Callithrix jacchus: one gene and its partners. The main gene of each other region encodes a partner of the protein of the gene in region 4 in a complex. Links are inferred from orthologs where the notes say so. Each region holds a gene or a part of one and is shown on either strand. Other genes may lie near its edges.

Evidence for each region.
Region 1: RIPK1 (region 4) and ZBP1 share a complex: the UniProt entries of both Homo sapiens proteins name them as parts of the AIM2 PANoptosome complex. The link is inferred for Callithrix jacchus from reciprocal best matches to the Homo sapiens genes RIPK1 and ZBP1.
Region 2: RIPK1 (region 4) and RIPK3 share a complex: the UniProt entries of both Homo sapiens proteins name them as parts of the AIM2 PANoptosome complex. The link is inferred for Callithrix jacchus from reciprocal best matches to the Homo sapiens genes RIPK1 and RIPK3.
Region 3: RIPK1 (region 4) and AIM2 share a complex: the UniProt entries of both Homo sapiens proteins name them as parts of the AIM2 PANoptosome complex. The link is inferred for Callithrix jacchus from reciprocal best matches to the Homo sapiens genes RIPK1 and AIM2.

What each region holds. Positions count from the first base shown.
Region 1 is NC_133506.1:53,206,795-53,211,644, forward strand, and holds the start of ZBP1 (Z-DNA-binding protein 1), read right to left. Parts: upstream 2,990-4,850; 5' UTR 2,836-2,989; coding exon 2,802-2,835; intron 1-2,801.
Region 2 is NC_133509.1:58,638,651-58,643,262, reverse strand, and holds the start of RIPK3 (receptor-interacting serine/threonine-protein kinase 3), read left to right. Parts: upstream 1-1,623; 5' UTR 1,624-1,817; intron 1,818-2,021; 5' UTR 2,022-2,220; coding exon 2,221-2,592; intron 2,593-3,014; coding exon 3,015-3,160; intron 3,161-3,286; coding exon 3,287-3,333; intron 3,334-3,536; coding exon 3,537-3,704; intron 3,705-3,811; coding exon 3,812-3,879; intron 3,880-4,116; coding exon 4,117-4,494; 3' UTR 4,495-4,612. UniProt on the Homo sapiens protein: Serine/threonine-protein kinase that activates necroptosis and apoptosis, two parallel forms of cell death. Necroptosis, a programmed cell death process in response to death-inducing TNF-alpha family members, is triggered by RIPK3 following activation by ZBP1.
Region 3 is NC_133519.1:19,070,016-19,074,851, reverse strand, and holds the start of AIM2 (interferon-inducible protein AIM2), read left to right. Parts: upstream 1-1,847; 5' UTR 1,848-2,006; intron 2,007-4,836. UniProt on the Homo sapiens protein: Sensor component of the AIM2 inflammasome, which mediates inflammasome activation in response to the presence of double-stranded DNA (dsDNA) in the cytosol, leading to subsequent pyroptosis.
Region 4 is NC_133505.1:27,572,281-27,577,040, reverse strand, and holds the start of RIPK1 (receptor-interacting serine/threonine-protein kinase 1), read left to right. Parts: upstream 1-1,516; 5' UTR 1,517-1,627; intron 1,628-4,760. UniProt on the Homo sapiens protein: Serine-threonine kinase which is a key regulator of TNF-mediated apoptosis, necroptosis and inflammatory pathways.

The DNA of each region.
Region 1 (4,850 bases), on a different chromosome or scaffold from region 4:
AGGAGTTCTAGACTAGCCTGGGTAACAGAGTGAGACCCCACCTCTACAAAAAAAAGAAAAAATTCAGGTGGGTATGGTGGCACGCACCTCAGATGCTCAAGAGGCAAAAGTGGGAGGATCGCTTGAGCCTAGGAGTTTGTGGCTGCAGTGAGCTATGAAAGCACTCTGCACTCCAGCCTGGGCAACAGAGCAAGACCCCATCTCTGGAAGAAAAAAAGGGTTGAGTGAGTGAATATCTGTCTCCAGGGACAGATGCTTACCCAACAGACCCTGGGCAGGGCCCAGGAAGCTCCTCCCTGGCCAATTGGCGTGTGCTCCTGTTTCCTGGCCTGAGTTTAACGAGCCCCAAGCAGGACCCCAAAAAATTCAAGGAGGAATTCTCCAAATGGCCCCTGCTCCTCCCGGGCAGCTCCCAACAATCAAAACCATTAGCTCACATGGTAATTAAACCATCAAAGCCAGCTGCTCTGCCAGGAGATGAGGCTGGGGCAGACACAAGGTACGGGCAGCACCTGGCAGCCGGCAGCCTGGGAGAGCCACTGTGGGCAGGGCCCCACCTGTTACCAGGAAGCTTCTGCTTCAAGGAACCCAAGGGCAGTGCATGGGAGAGCCCTTCTTGGAAAGACCTGGGTCCCCTTCCCGGACAGTGACTCAGTTCTTTGCCATCTGGGCTTTCTTTCCTGTTCAGAGGGTTTTCCTGCTCCAGGTTTGCCTGGGGCTGGGCTCCTTGGTCACAGCACTCGAAGGGGAAGAATTGGTTTGTGCCTCACCCTGATAGTTACAATGCTGACAGGCTGGCTGCGTGCAGGTGAAGAGCAATGAGAAGACCTGGGAGCTCCCACTCCTGTGCCCATCAAACTCCCCGAGCAGCAGCCAGCAGCCCCCCACCACCCATGCGCCTGACTTCACACCTGGCTTCACCTGGTCTCGTAGAGTTTTGATTCTGGAAGGCTCACCCCAGGGAGCCACCGCCTCCGCTCCAGAAACCCCAGAGGGGATGGGGGTCAGAGCTGTGGATCCAGGACAAGCCTGGGTGCTGGGAGGGCCTCGGCTGCAGAGCCCCAGGCTACTCTGTCTGAAAATGGGGCACTGTAAAATGGAGCTGGTGTAGGTGACAATTCGGTCATAGAAGAAAAGTCAACTGGGGAGGAAAACAAGAAAAGCCAGCGAGGGCTGAGTCTGGAACGTCTGCCTACACGTGAATCCCGCAGAGGAAGAGCCACAGGAACTCAGTAGCCAGCCCGGCTCCTGGGCCATGCCCTGGCAGCAGCCCTCCAGGGCATACCCCGGGTTGGTTTTTTAAAAAAAATTCTGATGGCTGATTTCCTGAGTTTGAGCTCCAGGCTCTGCCAACTACCAGCTATGTGACCTCTCCCGACTCCAGATTCCCCCTTCTGTGAAATGGAGACGACAGTAACTACTTCAAAGATTGTGCTGAGGATTAAAAAGAAACCAAGCCCTCCCCGAAAGCCGCAAAACCACACTTCACCTACCGTCCACAGCGCTTAGAGGACACCCGAGAGAGCAGCAATGGCTGGGGACACTATTGGCTTTCACTTCAACTCTTCCAGGAATAAAATGAGCAAAATGTTAGCTGAGGAAAGAACGCAGCAAGGGGGAACAAAGGCACACGGGTATCTCTTCAGAGCAAACTGCTTTGTTCTCCACTGGGATGGGCATTCTGACACCGGCACCGGCACCTGCCAGCTGTGATACCTTGAGAGTGTCATTTCACCTCTCAGTGCCTCAGTTATCTATGAAATGGGGATGACATTGCACTTGTCCCTGCAGGCCATAGAGAAATGCTTGCAAGGCATGTTTCAAGGTGCCTGGGGCATAGTCAGCTGTCGAAGGAGGATGGCTATGTGGTCCTTGTCTTTCTACTGTTTTTTTTTTTTTTTTTTGAGATGGAGTCTCACTCTGTTGCCCAGGCTGGAGTGCACTGGCACCATCTCTGCTCACTGCAACTTTTGCCTCCTGGGTTCAAGCAATTCTCCTGCCTCAGCCTCCCAAGTGGCTGGGATCACAGGCATGTGCCACCACACCCAGCAAAGTTTCATATTTTTAGTAGAGAAGGGGTTTTACCATGTTGGCCAGGCTGGTCTCAAACACCTGAGCTCAAGAGATCCACCTGCCTCGGCATCCCAAAGTGCTGGGAGGACAGGCGGGAGCCACCACATCTGGCTGGTCTACTATTCTTTTTTTTTTTTGAGATGAAGTCTCACTTTGTCACCCAGGCTGGAATGCAGTGGTGTGATCTCAGCTCACTGCAACCTCCACCTCCCAAGTTCAAGCGATTCTCCTGCCTCAGCTTCCTGAGTAGCTGGTACTATAGGTACATGTCACCATTCCTGGCTAATTTCTGTATTTTTAGTAGAGATGGGGTTTCATCATATTGGCCAGGCTGGTCTTGAACTCGTGACCTGAGGTGATCTGCCTGCCTTGACCTCCCAAAGAATAAAGTTGTCCTGTATTTTATTCCTGGAATTGTGCAATGAAAGCCAGTTGCAGGAGCCTCCCGGTCTGGTCTGCTATTTTTTTTTTTTTTTTTGCTTGGGTAATCCCTTTTAATAGTGAACTTCAGGTCACAACGGTAACTATTAGTTCAACTACACCAAGGTTTCTGAAGACAATGGCTTCTCCACCCAAGCAGGTTGTATATAAATTCCAAATAGAACTGCTTATTCTTTAGGATACTGCTATTGCCATCATGATCTGAGCCAAGCAAAAGAGGAAGAAAGAGAAGTGGAAATCTCACCCCAGGAGCTACTGCTGGTCCGTGGAAGGAAGAAGTACTGTACCTTCTTTGCCTGGATCAGCAGAAGCCTGGGCCATGCTGAGGACAGCTGCAGGGAGCGGGGAGACTTGCCAGGTGGTGCAGGCTCCTGTGCTCTGGCCTTGAGAGAATGGGCTGGGTCGAGGCTGGGGGTCTCATGCGGCTGAGCCTGGTGCTTCGTGCAGCTCTGAACCCACAAGGGAAGCGATGTCTGCTTCCACCAGGCGGGTATCAGCTGTTTACACCCCGGAAATAGACGCCCAGCCAGACCGGCCAGATTGTTTCTGAAGAAAAAGAAAATGAAACTTCTCTGTGTGGCTTTTCAAAGAAACCACATTGAAAGCAGGATGGATGAGCAAGCCCGAGTTGGGGCTCCGACTTGATGTTGACAGGGCGGAGCTATAAACTCAGCAAGACCAGAGCATCCTCTGAAGAGGCCTTTGGGGCAGAGGACTTCCCTCACCTTCCCAGCTCCAGGCGCAGCCCACCTGGACCCCTGCATTTTTATTTTCTGGCTCAGCATCAGAGGATTAAAAAAAAAAAAGAGAGAGCATGTACCACCTGCAGGGGTGATGTCAGGGGGTGGCATCACTCTGACGATGTCAGGAGCTGGGGCTGGACACCCAGGTTCTGTGTTTTGTTTTGGAAACAGGGTTTCTGTCACCCAGGCTGATGTGCAGTGGCACCATCATGGCTCACTGCAGCCTTGACCTCCTGGGCTTCAGTGATCCTCCCACCTCTCAGCCTCCCTAGTAGCTGGGACCACAGGTCTACATCACCATCCCAGCTAATTTTTGTATTTTCTGTAGAGATGGCGTTTCGTCATGTTGCCCAGGCTGATCTCAAACTCCTGGGGTCAAGCGATCCGCCTGCCTTGGTCTCACGCAGTGCTGGGATTCCAGGCATGAGCCCCCATGCCTACCCTGCCTGGTTCCGGTGGTACTTCCTTCTCAGGGACTCACAGGTGCTGACAGAGGTGCCGTCCCCAGCTCTCAATGGTTTTTCTTGTCTCCTCCCGAGTTTATTTCCCTGACCCACACGAGGGGCAGAACATTTAGGTGGGTGAGTGTCCTGAGATTGTCCCTGTGAGTATCCAACTGAGCCTCTTTAATGAACACCTACTACATGCTTTCCAATCTCAAGTGCTCCTCCAACCCATCTACAGGGTAGGGGCCAGTTCTTTCTTATTCTCAGAGGGGAAACTGAGGCCAGAAAGGCAAGATCACTTGTCCAAGGCCACACAGAGTCCATGGCAGAGCATGTCCTGTCCATTACCCAATTGTGTTTCCTGATCTGTAACATCAAAAGTCACACGTGAATCACCCTTAACACATGACGGTATGGAGTTCCCAGCTTTGCCACAGAACTTGCTTATTAATTCCAGAGTCAGATGCCTGAGGTCAGCATCTGAAAACTGGCAGCTGAGTGGTTCGGCATGCAAGCCTGGGCCAGCGTGCTTGGGTCCAAACCCAGCTGCACCATTTACTGGGTGTGTGACCTTGGACAAGTTATTTAACCTCTCGGTGCCTCAGTTTCCTCATGTGTAAAAGGGCTTAATCAAAGGAGCTAGCTCATGGGATTGAGGTGAGGACTTAAGGGGCTAACCCAGCCCAGCTGTCGGGCCGGAGCCCCAGCGCCATCTGCGGTCATGGGTATTGTCACCCCACAGGAATGTGTCTGGGAGAAAATGTGTCTTTGAAAAAAGGTTTGACGAAATGCTGAAAAGAATAGACAATATAGAGAGAAATATAAATGAATTAACGGAGTTGAACAATACAACACGAGAACTTAGTGAAATATGCACAAGTTTAAATAGCAGAATGGATCAAGCAGAAGAAAGGATATCAGAGGTCGAAGACCAACTTAACGAAATAAAACGACAAGACAAGAATAGAGAAAAAAGGATGAAAAGGAATGAGCAAAGTCTCCAAGAAATATGGGACTATGTGAAAAGACCCAATCTACGTTTGATTGGTGTACCTGAATGTGATGGAGAGAATGAATCCAAGCTGGAAAATACTTTTCAGGATATTATCCAGGAAAATTTTCCCAATCTAGCAAAGCAGGACACTAT
Region 2 (4,612 bases), on a different chromosome or scaffold from region 4:
TGCCTGCTCCCTTCAAGTGGAGATATTGAGCCCAGGTTATTCTCTCTAAAGAGAATCACAAAGGGAGTGGCTGCCCCTTCTGATGGCTCTCAGCTTCTGACTAGGCTTTTCTGAGGATCTGCTACACTTCTTGCCTTCTTGGATTCTGTGTGATACCGCCATATCTCTATACTAAAGCCTACTTCAGATGGAGTTCATGAACTGTTCAGGTGAGAGCCCTCAATCCCTACAGGAACCCAATCTCCTCTTTCCTCCTAATGAGTATGGAGTTTCATCTAGGATGATCAGTGTCTTAAGGAAGGCTCAGTATTTTTGATTGTTCATTTATTCATTCAATTCAATAAATATTTATTGGGTACCTGTCATTTATTGGCTTTTAAAGAGACTATGGTTGAACAATTCCCTAAATGGCTCCAAAATAGCATGAGCTGACCCTACCAGAAGCCATGACATGGCTCTCCAGGAGCTGTTCTAGAAAAAACTGCTAGTCACTTCTGCTTCAACCAGCCCATGGACCACTGGACAAAATGGAAAGCAAGTACCAAGGTGAGCACCTTTTAGTGAGAGCCAACACACAACCCACAGGATTGAGTCTCCCTGTGAAGAACTGAGTGCCTAGGGCTGACCCTAGCTTGTTCCCACAACCCCCAGTCATGGTCAGACCTTAGAAAGGTAAAATATGGACACCTTTTTTCTGCCCTAAATCTTTAAGACGCTGCATGCTCCCGGGTTATCAAAGACCTGTGTCCGAGCACGTGCTTGTCAGGAACATTAATTAGGGTATTTGCATGCAAGAGCTGTCATGCAAGAGAGAGGGCAGGAAAGCTCTGAGGTGTTTCCACTGCAATGTACACCGCAATGTCAGCAACCTTCTGGCTGGGCTGATATATCTAGCCTTACCACAATGCCCTGGGAGTTGTTTTAGGGCTTGTCAGCTCCAGGGGCTCCTGTTCATAGGGCATATAAGTCCCTATCAGAGCAGCGATAGGGACTGGGCAGGAATACAGATAGGGGTCCTTCATTACATCGTTGGATGCTTCACACCTTCCCCAACCACCTGCATGACCAGCTGAGTGGTACAGCCCTGAAGTCTATGTGAAAATAGGAAAACTTGATGGTTCAGAGCCATTATTTCCACATGGGCTTAGGCATGATACTTAAACTCTCAGTGTCTCAGTTTCCTCGTCCATAAAAATAGTAATAAAAGCAGTACCTATCCTCTTAGGGTTCATGTGAGAATTAAATAAGCTAATATATGTACCTGGTGTGTAGTAACTTTTATATACGTGTTGGCTATAATCTTAGGGCAGCTGTGAGAGAGCTGAGCCCCAGAACCATAAAACCCTCTTAAGCACCATCCCCACTCACGGCCTGGCAGGTGGTGGAGCAGGAAATCCCGTGGGAAAAGGGAAGGCGTTGGCTGTAGGAGAGGGTCGATTGTGGGTTCCCGGAAGGTGAGGACTCCTTCCCTAACATCCTCAATGCCCAGCTACAACCAACCTGGCCGCGGCACGCAGCAGGCGCCCAAGAAACACTAGTCAGAGAGGAAAGCACTAGCTTTCGTTCTGCCCCCGTCCCACCCCAGGGGCGGGACTGTAGAGTCGCCTGAAAGGGAAGTTGTTCAGTCAACTCGGAATAGCGGTAGCAACCCGGAAAGTGGAATCATCATCTTGGTCTAGAGACTGACGCCTGTGCATGCAGACCCGTTCCCCTCTCTACCAAAGACCGCAGCCCCGGAAGTCACTCCATCTCCTGCAGCTCGCTATTTCCAGCGGCCCCCTCGTACCTTCCAGCCTGATGTCTCACGTCAAGTTATGGTGAGTAGGGAGTGGCGTGTGGATCTGAGTCTCCGACACTCACCCCCAGAGCTACCCGCGACTCGCTCAGAGAACGCCTTTGCGTCTAGGGACGGTGGGGGCGGGCGAGGGAGGCCGAGGATTGCAGTGGGCGCCGAGTCACGGGGGCGGGGGGAGCAGCGCGGACACTGCACTGCCGGCTAGTGGGCGACACCCCTCTCTCAGGTTGAACGGTGCTTCCGCCTCCTTGGTGTTAGACAAGTAATTGGAGAACCACAAGCTCGTCGGCTCAGGCGGGTTCGGCAACGTGTTCCGGGCGCATCATAGGAAGTGGGGCTGCGATGTGGCTGTCAAGATCGTGAACTCGTGAGTGTCCGGCCAAGGTCTGGGCAAAAAGGTGGAGCCGCTGTGCTCTGCGACCTGAATGGGGAAGGGAGGGATTCTCCCAGGACCCCGGTGCGACTCCAGCTCTCTACTGGAGTGTAGGAAGGCGATATCCAGGGAGGTCAAGGCCATGGCAAGTCTGAATAACGAATTCGTGCTGTGCCTAAAAGGGGTCATCGAGGAGGTGGGGTGGGACGACGATTTCAGGCCGGCACTGGTGACTGAATTCATGGAGAACGGCTCCCTGTCGGGGCTGCTGAAGCCCCAGTGCCCTCGGCCCTGGCCACTCCTCTGCCGCCTGCTGAAAGAAGTGGTGCTCGGGATGTGTTACCTGCATGAGCAGAACCCGGCGCTCCTGCACCAGGACCTCAAGCCATCCAACATCCTGCTGGACCCGGAGCTGCACGTCAAGGTTAGCCGGTCTACACCCCTCTCAGCCTCAGGACAAGGCCCCACCCCAGAGCTGCTCCAGCCAGGGCCACCAGACACTAGACCTGCAGAGCCCTGTCTGTTGAATAGGCACAGCCTCTCCCTCTGGACTCAGAGTTGTCAGGGGACAAAGCCCAGCCGGGAGTTTTAGCTCCTGCCCTACCAGGTGATAGAGGCCCTGACCCACACGAGTCATTTCCACCAGCTGTCCCACCAGGCCCTGGAGACTCAGACTTGGACCCAGCCCTACCACAGGGCACCTAGATCTACCACCCAAGGGAACCCCTTCCCTTGACCTTCACACTCTTTTTACAAAGCTGAATCTGCACCATCTGGGGGTAGGGAGTATTCTGGAGGCTGCCTGCTTTGTCTTCCCCGCTTCCCCCTTCTTCCCTTCATTTGCAGCTGGCAGATTTTGGCCTGTCCACATTTCAGGGAAGCTCACCGTCAGGGACAGGGTCTAGGGAGCCAGGGGGCACCCTGGGCTACTTGGCCCCAGAACTGTTTGTTAATGTAAACCAGAAGGCCTCCCCAGCCAGTGATGTCTACAGGTAAGGATCCCACCCCAAACACACAGCGGGGATTCCTACACCTCTCTTGGCCCTCCTAGGGGATGACGTATAGGAAAGGAGTCTTGCCAGTGATTGGACCTGTCCTCAGCTTTGTGTCTCCTGCAGCTTCGGGATCCTAATGTGGGCAGTGCTTGCTGGAAGAGAAGCTGAGTGTAAGACTCTAGGCAGATTCTGGGATCCTTAACCCCAGGTGCCCTTCTGAAAGCCCCAAGTCTTCCCCTTCCTGCTCATCTACTTAGACTGCCCTCCTCCCTCATGGTGCCCCCACATTACACTCCCTGCCTCTTTCCATGATGGACAGATATTCCCTTTTACCCCAAATGCCTTCTCTTCTCACCCACCTTCCCTACCCCAGTGCCGACCGAAGCATCACTGGTGTATGGAGCAGTGTGCAAGAGGGAGGCCCAGCCCTCACTAAATGAACTGTCCCAAGCTGGGCCTGAGACTCCTGGCTTGGAAGGACTGAAGGATTTAATGCAGCTCTGCTGTAGCAATGAGCCCAAGGACAGACCCTCCTTCCAGGGTGAGCTGCCCAGTTAGCTGGATCTGTGATAAGCTTGGGTCTGTCAGCAGGGGGCTCTTCTCAGGAAAAGATTTGCTCACCTGCAACCCAATCTACTGTCCCTCTAGAATGCCTACCAAAAACCGATGAAGGCTTCGAGCTGGTGAAGAACAATATGAATGCTGCTGTCTCCACAGTGAGCTCCCAACATCATCCCTCTCCAGGAGCTGGTCAGGGATAGCACAACATGACTACCTAGCCATCCAATGATGGCTTACCACCGATCACCGCTTTTTATGCCTTGAACTTTGTCCCCACCCTCCCCAGCCCACCCCCGAGTTCCCAGCCAACAGATTATGGACCAAGAGACTACTCCCTTGGGTTTGCTCTGGCTCATCCAAGTTATACCCAGCAAACTCCTCCATCCCTGCAGGTAAAGAATTTCCTGTCTGAGCTCAGGAGCAGCAATAGGTCAGGCCAAGGAAAGACAGAAATGGATGGCTTTGGGAGAAACACAGGAAGGCAGCACTGTTATGATGATTTCATGGATTCTGACCTGCTAAATAAACTGAATCTAGAGGATTCTTCCAGCTGTGTTCCTGAAAAATACCCAAGTCTTACCAAGAAGAGCAGGGCACAAGAGGAGCAGGTTCCACAAGCCAGGACAGCAGGGACATCTTCAGATTCAATGGCTCAACCTCCCCAGACTCCAGAGACCTCAACTTTCAGAAACCAGACACCCAGCCCCACCTCAACTGGAACACCAGGTCCTAGACCCCAAAGGAATCAGGTGAGACATTGGCAGGATTAGGGGATGCACTAGAACTCCTATAAATCCTTTCCCCTTGCCAGGGAAAACTTGGAGCTGAGAGGAGTGCAGAGGGAACACCAGACTCTGGGACAGAACTGAATGCTCTGTGCTGTTTGCA
Region 3 (4,836 bases), on a different chromosome or scaffold from region 4:
TGTGTCAGGTGAAGTGGATTGCAGTAAGCTAACAGGCAGAAATATTTTTCCTCATGTGCCTTACATTTTAGGAGCAAAAGCCAGATAATAGACAAAAGTAACACATACAGTATGTCAGATAGTGGTCAGTACCACATGTGGGAAAAAATAATGTGGGGAAGAGGTAGAGAACATGCTGGTCAGAGAAGCCCCACAGATAAGGTGATATTTGAGCTGACAGCTGGCAAAAGTGTAGAAATAGGCCTTAGAGCAGAAAGTGAAGGCAGTCCTGAGCTCTGGGCTGATGACCTGAGCATGGCTAGGTGCTTTTCCTCTGCTCCCATAGCATCTTGAACATGCTTTAATTATAACACTTAGCACCATGTGCTATTGCGATTATTAAATTACATGTCTGTTTCCATGACTTGGCAGAGCCGCTCAATATCTGGAACTTTGTCTTATCAACTATTACATTCCCAGAAACTAATACATCCTATTAGATGTTCACTGAATAATTGTTGATTCAATGAATGAGAAATGAAAACTTCAAGTAAATTGCTGACTAGAATCAAGCCCTCAGGTTCTGAATTTAGGGTTAGGAATCTGGGTTAGGAAGAAAGACTGTATATATGCTTTTGAGGCAAGCAGTTCGTGAGGGAATGAGGCACCATTACTTCCAGGTAACTACAAGCAATAAAAATGGGGTCAAAAACGTTAGAGCAGAGGGACAGGCCCCCTAGGAGACAGGAACTGCTACAACCAGCTGTGACAATGAGCACACATTGCAGACTTCCTCCTTAGGCACGGATGAGAAGGTAACACGGAAGAAACTGGCCGCAACTGGTTAAACCCGGTTAAACCGAAAACTTGGCTGACTGCTGACCCTTAGCTTCATTATGCCCTTAATGTCATAAAATTTCCATAATGAAACCTCCCACTCCCATCATGCACCTGGCGCCATAATATTTCCGGATTAACTATCTTTAGTCAAGAAAATGGTGGCACCCTGATTCTGAGAACTGCCCACCCATTTTGCAGAAAACCCTTCCCCTTATCATAGAGTACTTTCTACCTTCATTGTGCTAATCCGTATATGACACGAACCCCGTTGCCTGTGACTCATTCTCTGAGTGCCCGCACTCCTCCCTTGGGTGTATCCTTGCTTTTGCTCCACAATAAAACATCTATACTTTCACTTTGGTCTCATTTTCGGATTCTCTTATGCTTTGACGCCAAGAACCTGCACTGGCCTACTGGCAACACTTTTTGATGCCCTCCGAAATCACTGTGCTTATTTATACCAGAAAAAATGTATCTGGGCCAGACAACGGTGCTCGTGCCTGTAATCTCAGCATTTTGGGAGGCCAAGGCAGGCAGATCACAAGGTCAAGAAATCGAGACCATCCTGGCCAACATGGTGAAACCACGTCTCTACGAAAAATACAAAAATTAGCTGGGCATGGTCGCGCGCCTGTTGTCCCAGCTACTCGGGAGGCTGAGGCAGGAGAATCCCTTGAACCCGGGTGGCGGAGGTTGCAGTGAGCCAAGATCACGTCACTGCACTCCAGCCTGGCAACAGAGCAAGACTCCGTCTCAAAAGAAAAGAAAAAAATAAAAATAAAAATAAAATGTCATCTGCTAGGCCCCTTAGTCACAAAGCGTACCAATAAGTCATCTGTGGTCATTTTTCACAGCTTCCTAACCACTTTCAGTTTCCAATCAGAGTAACTATGTGGGATGACTCAGCTACAAGTTGCTACAAGAGTTTTCTTCTGTGGCTGCTAGAGAGAACCCAAACCAGCTCAGCCAATTAGAGCTCCAGTTGTCACTCCAACCCGCGCTGGCCCTGGGGGTGAAGGGAAGTGTTTATTCGGAGTATGTGTGAAGCTGTTCAGAAGTTTCAGAGCCTTTGTCGCTTTGAAAGTCACGTAGGTAATTGGGGCATGGTCTCCTAAGCCCCCTGCTAGTTAAGCTCTCTGAAGAGAAGGTGGCAGACCCGGTTTGCTGATCACACCAGGGATCAGAAGGTAAGCACCATGGAGGAACTGGGTTAGACACAAGAGACGGAACCCTTTCTCCACCAAGAAAGACAACTGAGGAAAGACCAGCCATGCTATGCACCCCTTTGATAACTTGAACCTGCGAAATGGACACCAGCTGTGAAAGGATGGGTTCATCTATTTTATTCGCTGTAGCCATATTCTCTGGTGTCTTTGAGCTGGTATTCCTGAAGCTTCAGCTTCCACTGGGGTTTATCTATCAGCCTATTTGTAAATGCCCCATCCCCCTGGCTGGGCCCCCCTACCTTCCAAGGCAGTGACCATTTTACTTGACTGAAGCCCCACATAGCACTTGGGAATTTCCCACTAATGAATGCCTCTTCTCACACAGTGCAGGGCTTCATTTCCTGACCTCCAGGACCACCCACGAAGCCCCTGGTCTAGCCCCAGTGGGATGCTCTGGTGTGATTTCAACATCACTCTAGTTCTTTATCATCTGTTGCCCTGGTTTGCTCATCCCAGCCCAGAAATCCTTTTCATTCCAACCTTGCACTTCTACCTTCCCTGTGTCTTTTTTTTTAAGATGGGTTATCACCATGATGGCCAGGCTGGTCTGGAACTCCTGACCTCAGGTGATCCACCCACCTCGGCCTCCCAAAGTGCTAGGATTACAGGCATGAGCCACAGCGCCCGGCCCCACTGTGTCCTCTTAATCTATTCTTTGATAAAACCTTTTAAATAAGATATGCTCCTACCTTTTAATCTCAGTCTCAAATCCAGATTGTGACCTGCCATCCCATATGAAACTATTATTTGTCACAAAATATCATGACTAGATATCTACTACTATCACTTTTTTTTTTTTTTTTTTTTTGAGACAGAGTCTCACTCTGTTGCCAGGCACCAGGCTGGAGTACAGTGCCTTGATCTCGGCTCAATGCAACCTCCACCTCCTGGGTTCAAACAATTCTCTTGCCTCAGCCTCCCAAGTAGCTGGGACTACAAATGCATGTCACCACACCCAGCTAATTTTTATATTTTAGTACAGATGGGGTTTCACTATGTTGGCCGAGATGGTCTCGATCTCTTGACCTCGTGATCCACCTCCCTCCACCTCCCAAAGTGCTGGGATTACAGGCATGAGCCACCGCACCTGGCATATTATCACTTTTTATACTGATACCTAACCCTGGATGAATGATTATGCTTTGCAAGGCTCTGTTGTAAGTTCATGACTTACTTGAATGGAATTATCTTATTCTAACATTAATTCTTCAATGTTGATAATAACATTTCCCCCATTTTGCAGTTAAGGATATGGACACTTTAGAAGGGTATAATTTACCAGATGTTGCAAATAGCGGAACCAGGATTTAAGTCTGTGTCTGGCAGAATAACTGTCAGCCTTAGGCAGCAAGTTAACACAGTCTGAAATCCCTGTGGGGTTCTGCAGCTGTGGCATGAAGAAGGTAGGCACTATTCCTCCACTGAAGATGGCACATAGGGGAAATGCTGGGTGGAAATGCTTATTTGTTTCATCAGGTGTCTCTCAAAGAGGAATCATTCTTAGGTTTTACTTGCTTAAGAAATTTTCTTTTCGTTCTTCTATATCACCAATTTTTCCTCTCTCCCAGATCATTCTAATCAGCATGAAATATTCTGTATTTTCTCCAATGTTAGAAAAGCAAGCAAACAAAAAGAAGACACTCTGTCAACCCCACATCTCCTTCCAGCACTTACCACATTTCTCTGGACCTTTATAGCAAAAAGGTTGGCTTTCCTTGCATTCCCCCTTTTTTGTCCACCCTTTTTCTGACCACTCAATTTACATGAGCAATTTTACTCCTCATTCCTGGCACCCCCTCTGCCTTCCCTGTTTTGTTTTCCTTTATAGCACTTACCAATCTTAATCTATTTTGTATACTCAAGTTAAAATTTCTTCTGCACCATTCTCTATCAAAACTGCTATTATCAGCGTCACCAGTAACCTCTAATTGCTACTTCTATGTCTTTTCTGCAGCCCTCATCCTACCTAGTATGTTAGAAACATGTGGCACATTTCATCTTTTTATCTCCTTAAGAATTACCTTCTCAGCACCTTAAACACTGCTCTTCCTAGCTTTCTACCTATCTCACCGCTCATGCCCGTTCAGTCACCATGGCTGGTCAGTCTTCATCCCTCGCACTGTCAATACCGGAATGGCCAGGGGCGAACTTTGGACTTCCTCTTTCTGCACTTCCTCCCTTGGTGAAATCGTTTATCTATGGCTTTTACTGCTACTACCTGTGTGCTAGTGATTCCCAAGCTCACATCTCTAGACTAGCACTCTCTTTAACTCCACCTGGGTATCTGAACTATGCACTTGAAGCTCTAGCAGGCATCACCAACTTAACATGTCCAAGTCCACATTCCTAACCTTATCCCAGCGCATTCCAAATATGCTCCTCTGACATCCACTCTGCAATATCAGTAGCATTTTGACTGTTTTCAGGTGTTAAGTCAAAAAAATCTAAGTTTGTTTCTTTTTTTGTTTTTTCTTTTTTTCTTTTTGAGATGGAGTTTTTCTCTTGTTGCCCAGACTGGAGTGCAGTGGCACAATCTTGGCTCACTACAACTTCTGCCTCCCAGGTTCAAGCAGTTCTCCTGCCTCAGCCTCCCGAGTAGCTGGGCTTACAGGCATGTACCACCATGCCTGGCTAATTTTGTATTTTAAGTAAAGATGGGGTTTCACCATGTTGGACAGGCTGGTTTCAAACTCCTGACCTCAAGTGATCCACCTGCCTTGGCCTCCCAAAGTGTTGGGATTACAGGCATGAGCCACCACGCCCGGCCTAAGTGTGTTTCTTAGCTTCTCCT
Region 4 (4,760 bases):
TCTGGAGTTAGTAGTGATAGCTGGATAGCTTTGTCAATATACTAAGAACCACTGAATTGCATGCGGAGGAATATTATGGTATGTGAATGTATTTTAATAAATGTGTTATTTTATTTATATATTTTTATTTATTTTTATTTTTTTGAGATGGAGTCTCACCCTGTCACCCAGGTTGGAGTGCAATGGTGCAATCTCGGCTCACTGCAACCTTCACCTCCAAGTTCAAGCTATTCTCCTGCCTCAGCCTCTTGAGTAGCTGTGATTACAGGTGTGCACCACCACGCCCGACTAATTTTTGTATTTTTAGTAGACACGAGGTTTCACCATGTTGGCCAGGCTGGTCTCTAATTCTTGGCACATGATCTGCCTGCCTTGGCCTCCAAAAATGCTGGGATTACAGGCATAAGCCACCATGCCCGACCTTAATAAGGGTGTCATTTTAAAAAACAAGCTAGGCACCTCGGGTGTAAAATTGGAGGAGGTTCTGATTCTCAGGGCCGCGCAAATGCAGGGTTGGCCCCTACGTGTGCAGCCCTCCTGAAATTTTGTGCCTTAGGCACCTGGCTTGCCTCTCGCTAATTCAGGCCCTCAGGAGAAAGCTTTACTTTTTGTCAATTTGAAATGGGAGGGCATGGCTTCTGCGAGCCTCTCCCTGGGAGCCATTTGGTCTGTTCTCTTCCTCTGAAAATCACCGTGTCAACACAAAATGCTTCAAATTGCGTCCAGCCTAGGATGGAGGCGGTGGGGGGGATAGTTGATGACATCACAAAACTGCTGCATCAACTCCCTCAAGTCTCTGCCTCTGGACCCCTGATAGAGGATACAGGAGTGTCCTGAGCCCGTCTCACTCAGTGTCTCTTCCCATCACTTTGCGGGAATGGTGAGGCTGCTTAAACCAACCGCAGTCTAAGCAACTGTGGCTGGAGAAGGGCTCGAGTACTAGGGGTGAGGACGCCTGCTTCTCTATCTGGAGTGGTACCAGTTAGTACTAGTGCCTAGAAGTACTACTAGTACTAGTACCCAGGACTAGTACTAATTAGTGGCGGAACCTGGAACAAATGCTTTGGTTAACTGAATCCCTCACATTCCTAAGACAAGAGGAGTGGACCCATGGGGCTTTCCCATTGAACATCCAGCTTGGCTGTCACCCGACTACTTTCTGAAAGTAATGAAGCCCAGGATTCCAGGCTCTGTCTCCTTTCCCGCAGACCCCTTGTTTTTTGGCGCTGAGGTCCTGCACAGTGCAGGCTACCAGTCTACTTCTCTAGGCTGTCAGTTTCGGAACCCGGTCTGAAGCGACCATGACGCTGGAGGTGGGCGAGGCCCGGCGAGCGCCACGGGCACGAGACTGGCCTCGGGCTGGCGGAGGCAGTCGCGGACATCGCCCTGGGCGGGGCAAGTTGGGGAACCCTAGCCCTGCCCCTAGCCCTGCCCCCGGCCACCTCGCGCGCCGCCCCCGCTGGTTCCGGGAGGAAAGTGGCGTGAGTATAAAAAGGCGGTGCCGGCAAAGGCCGGAGTGAGAATCCGCAGCGAGCGCAGTAGTAGGACCCGGTCCTGCGCCTCAGGGATCCGCGTCCAGGATCGGAGCGCGGCACAGAGACGGCGGCAGCGTTGGAAGAGGTGGCAGGTGAGGGCGTCCCCGCGCAGGGCCGGGCTGGGGACGGGAGTGGTGAGCTTCAGGTTCCCCGGCTGCCACCGAGAGGTGGGATTCGAGGAAAGGAGAGGCCGTTCAGCCAAGAGCCCCGGGGAGGCAGTGCCGTTTCGGTGGGGCCAGCAACGGTCTCTAGGGGGTCCCTTGCAGCGCGCAGCCGGTCTCTGCCTCGGCGGCCCCCAGCCAGTGCGGACGCTGCTCTCCCCGACGCCTCCTGGCTGCCCTTCCCAGGCCGAAGGCGTCCCCTGCAGTCCCCTCCCCACCTGCCGGCCCTATTTTCCCACTGCTCCTCTCTGCTCGGGGGTCCGCAGGATGACAACGTCTATCCTGCTTATCTTTTAAAGTCACCATTCTCCAGTTCCAAATCCGAGGACTCATCCGTAATTCAGAGATACGGATGGGTCTTTCCTTCCCCGGAGCACTCCTCCAGGGCCTGAGAATCCGGGCAGCCAGCCGCAGCCCGTAACCTGCAGAGCCTGCTGTCTGCGGGGACCGCCAGCAAGTAGAGGAGGAATCACCTTCGGAAGTGTTGTGTTGCCGGGGGCGGGTCGCGCCGGCGGGGTCTAGGAAGCCTCCCCTAGGGTGGGAATCAGAGCCTCCCAGCCGCAGTGGAATTGAGGATGAGTGGAATTAACCCGTGATTGTCGTGGCGCCCCCCCAAGGGGGACCAACAGTGTTTGCCAAGAGGTGACTTTGGGAGGGGTCCAGGATGGCCAAAGGTGGAGGCTGTGACCTGAGTGAGGCTGGATCAGGGGAGGGGCAGGTGAAGAAGAAACCATTTCAACAAGGCGGCTTTGAGCGGACCCTAAGGCCCTGGGAGATTTAGGAGGAAGGACGAGAGGATGGAGACACCACTTTCCTCTCAGGATGCTGTGTGGCTGTGGCTGAGGGTGGCTGCTGGCAGCGGGTTGTGTTCATTGTCCAAGGCTCTCCAGTGGTCTGGCTGGCGTTTTGGGAAGCACAGGTGAGGTGTCCGGACAGTGGGGAGCAGCTCTGGAAAGACCAGAGGGTCAGGGAGGAGGTCTGGGCACGAGGCCAGGCACAGGATCTGAAGTGGAGAGAAATGTGTGTGAGGAGGGCAGCCCTTGGGGATGAGTGTGGCGGAGAAGGGAGAGATGGGAAGGAGTCAGGGAGGTCTCCCAGCCTCACCTGGATGGGTGAGGCTCATTTCCAAGGGCATTGGGAACTGTGGCCTGGGGGCAGGTGTTCCTTTGGTTTCAGATCTGTGGCCAAGAGACCCACCCACTCACATTCACACTTTGCCTCCACTGGCTTCAGAGGTAGTGCCAGCTACTTGTTCTCGCTGGTTTTACTTCCTCACCTTGGGCTCCTTCTTGCCTTTGCATTCTGGAGCTCTGCAGGGACCAGTTCCTTCCTCCCATGCACAATCTACTCTCATGGCTTTTGCTGGGAATAATGAGTAAAGCTCCCAAATAGATGTTTCTGAGTTAGAACACTGAAAACAAAATAAAGCAAAAACAATACATTTCCAATGTCCCAAGGTCACATGATGTCCGGAGGATAGTGATGAGCATTAACTTTTTGTCTTCCCTATTAGAATGCAAGCTCCACAAATGGAACAGAGTGTTGTTGTATTTTGTTTTGTTTTTTTCCAGACAGAGTTGTGCTCTGTCACAGGATGGAGTGGAGTGGCACGATCTTGGCTTACTGCAACCTCTGCTTCCCTGGGCTCAAGCAATTCTGCCTCAGCCTCTGGAGTAGCTGGGACTACAGGTGCACGCCACCATGCCCAGCTAATTTTTGTATTTTCCGTAGAGACAGGGTTTCACCATGTTGGCCAGGATGGTCTCAATCTCCTGACCTCCTGATCTGCCTGCCTTGGCCTTCCAAAGTGCTGGAATTACAGGCGTGGCCAGCTGAGTTTTTTTGTGTGTGTGTGTGTGCAGTGGGTCAATCTCAGCTCACTGTAACCTACGCCTCCTGGGTTCAAGCAATTCTCCTGCCTCCACTTCCAGAGTACCTGGGACTACAGGAGCATGCCACCACACCCGGCTCATTCCCATTAGGAACAAGTGAGACTTCCTTTTGCTCCAGGTCTTCATCGACATTTGGTGTTGTGTTCTGGATTTTAGCCATTCTAATAAATGTGTAATAGTATTTCAGTTTTTTCAGAACATTGTAATTCCTTAATGACCTATAATTTTGAGCATCTTTTCATACGCATATACATATGGTGAAGTGTCTGTTCAGAGCTTTTCCCCACTTTTAATCAGGTTACACATTTCCATATTGTTGCATTTTAAGAGGTTTTTTTGGGGGAGTATATTTTGGGTCACAGTCCTTTATCAGGTATGTCTTTTGTAAATATTTTCTCCCGGTCTGTGGCTTGTGTTCTCATTCTCCTGACATACCTTTTTTGTTTTTACAGCATATAATCCTGCTGCGCTTTTGTTTTGCTTTTGGGACGGAGTCTCGCTCTTATCACCCAGGCTGGAGCACAGTGGTGCAATCTCGGCTCACTGCAGCCTCCTCCTCCTGGGTTCAAGCGATTGTCCTGCCTCAGCCTCCCCAGTAGCTGGGATTACTGATGCCCGCCACCACGCCCAGCTGATTTTTGTATTTTTTAGTAGAGATGGGGTTTCACTATGTTGGCCAGGTTGGTCTCGAACTCCTGACTTCAAGTGATCCGCCCGCCTCAGCTTTTCAAAGTGCTGGCATTACAGGAGTGAGCCACCGCGCCCGGCCTGTTGTGCATATAATTTTATTATTTGCTTTTTTAATAAAACATGAATAGCATGCAGTTCCAATTTTGCTCGAGACTTCACAATTACCAATTTAAAGGCTGCAAAATAATCATCTTATTTCCTCTCGACAGCCTCACTTTACAGAAGGGAGAGGAATGCTAACTTGCCTATGGTCCTAGCGCTGCTAACGCGCACAGCTCCGAATCCTCCGGATAGCACCCCCGCTGCAATCCACACTGGACTTCCTCCAGGCCCAGCTGCCTCTCGGGGGCGCAGGTTTCGGTTTCCTCTTCACTTAGGCCGCCCAACTCGCTTGAAAACAAAGTCCGCGATCCTCCAGCCAGCAAGAGAGCTCCGGGATTCAGACCCTGGGCGCTAGGCCCTGCAAGTGGCGGGGCGGCGCT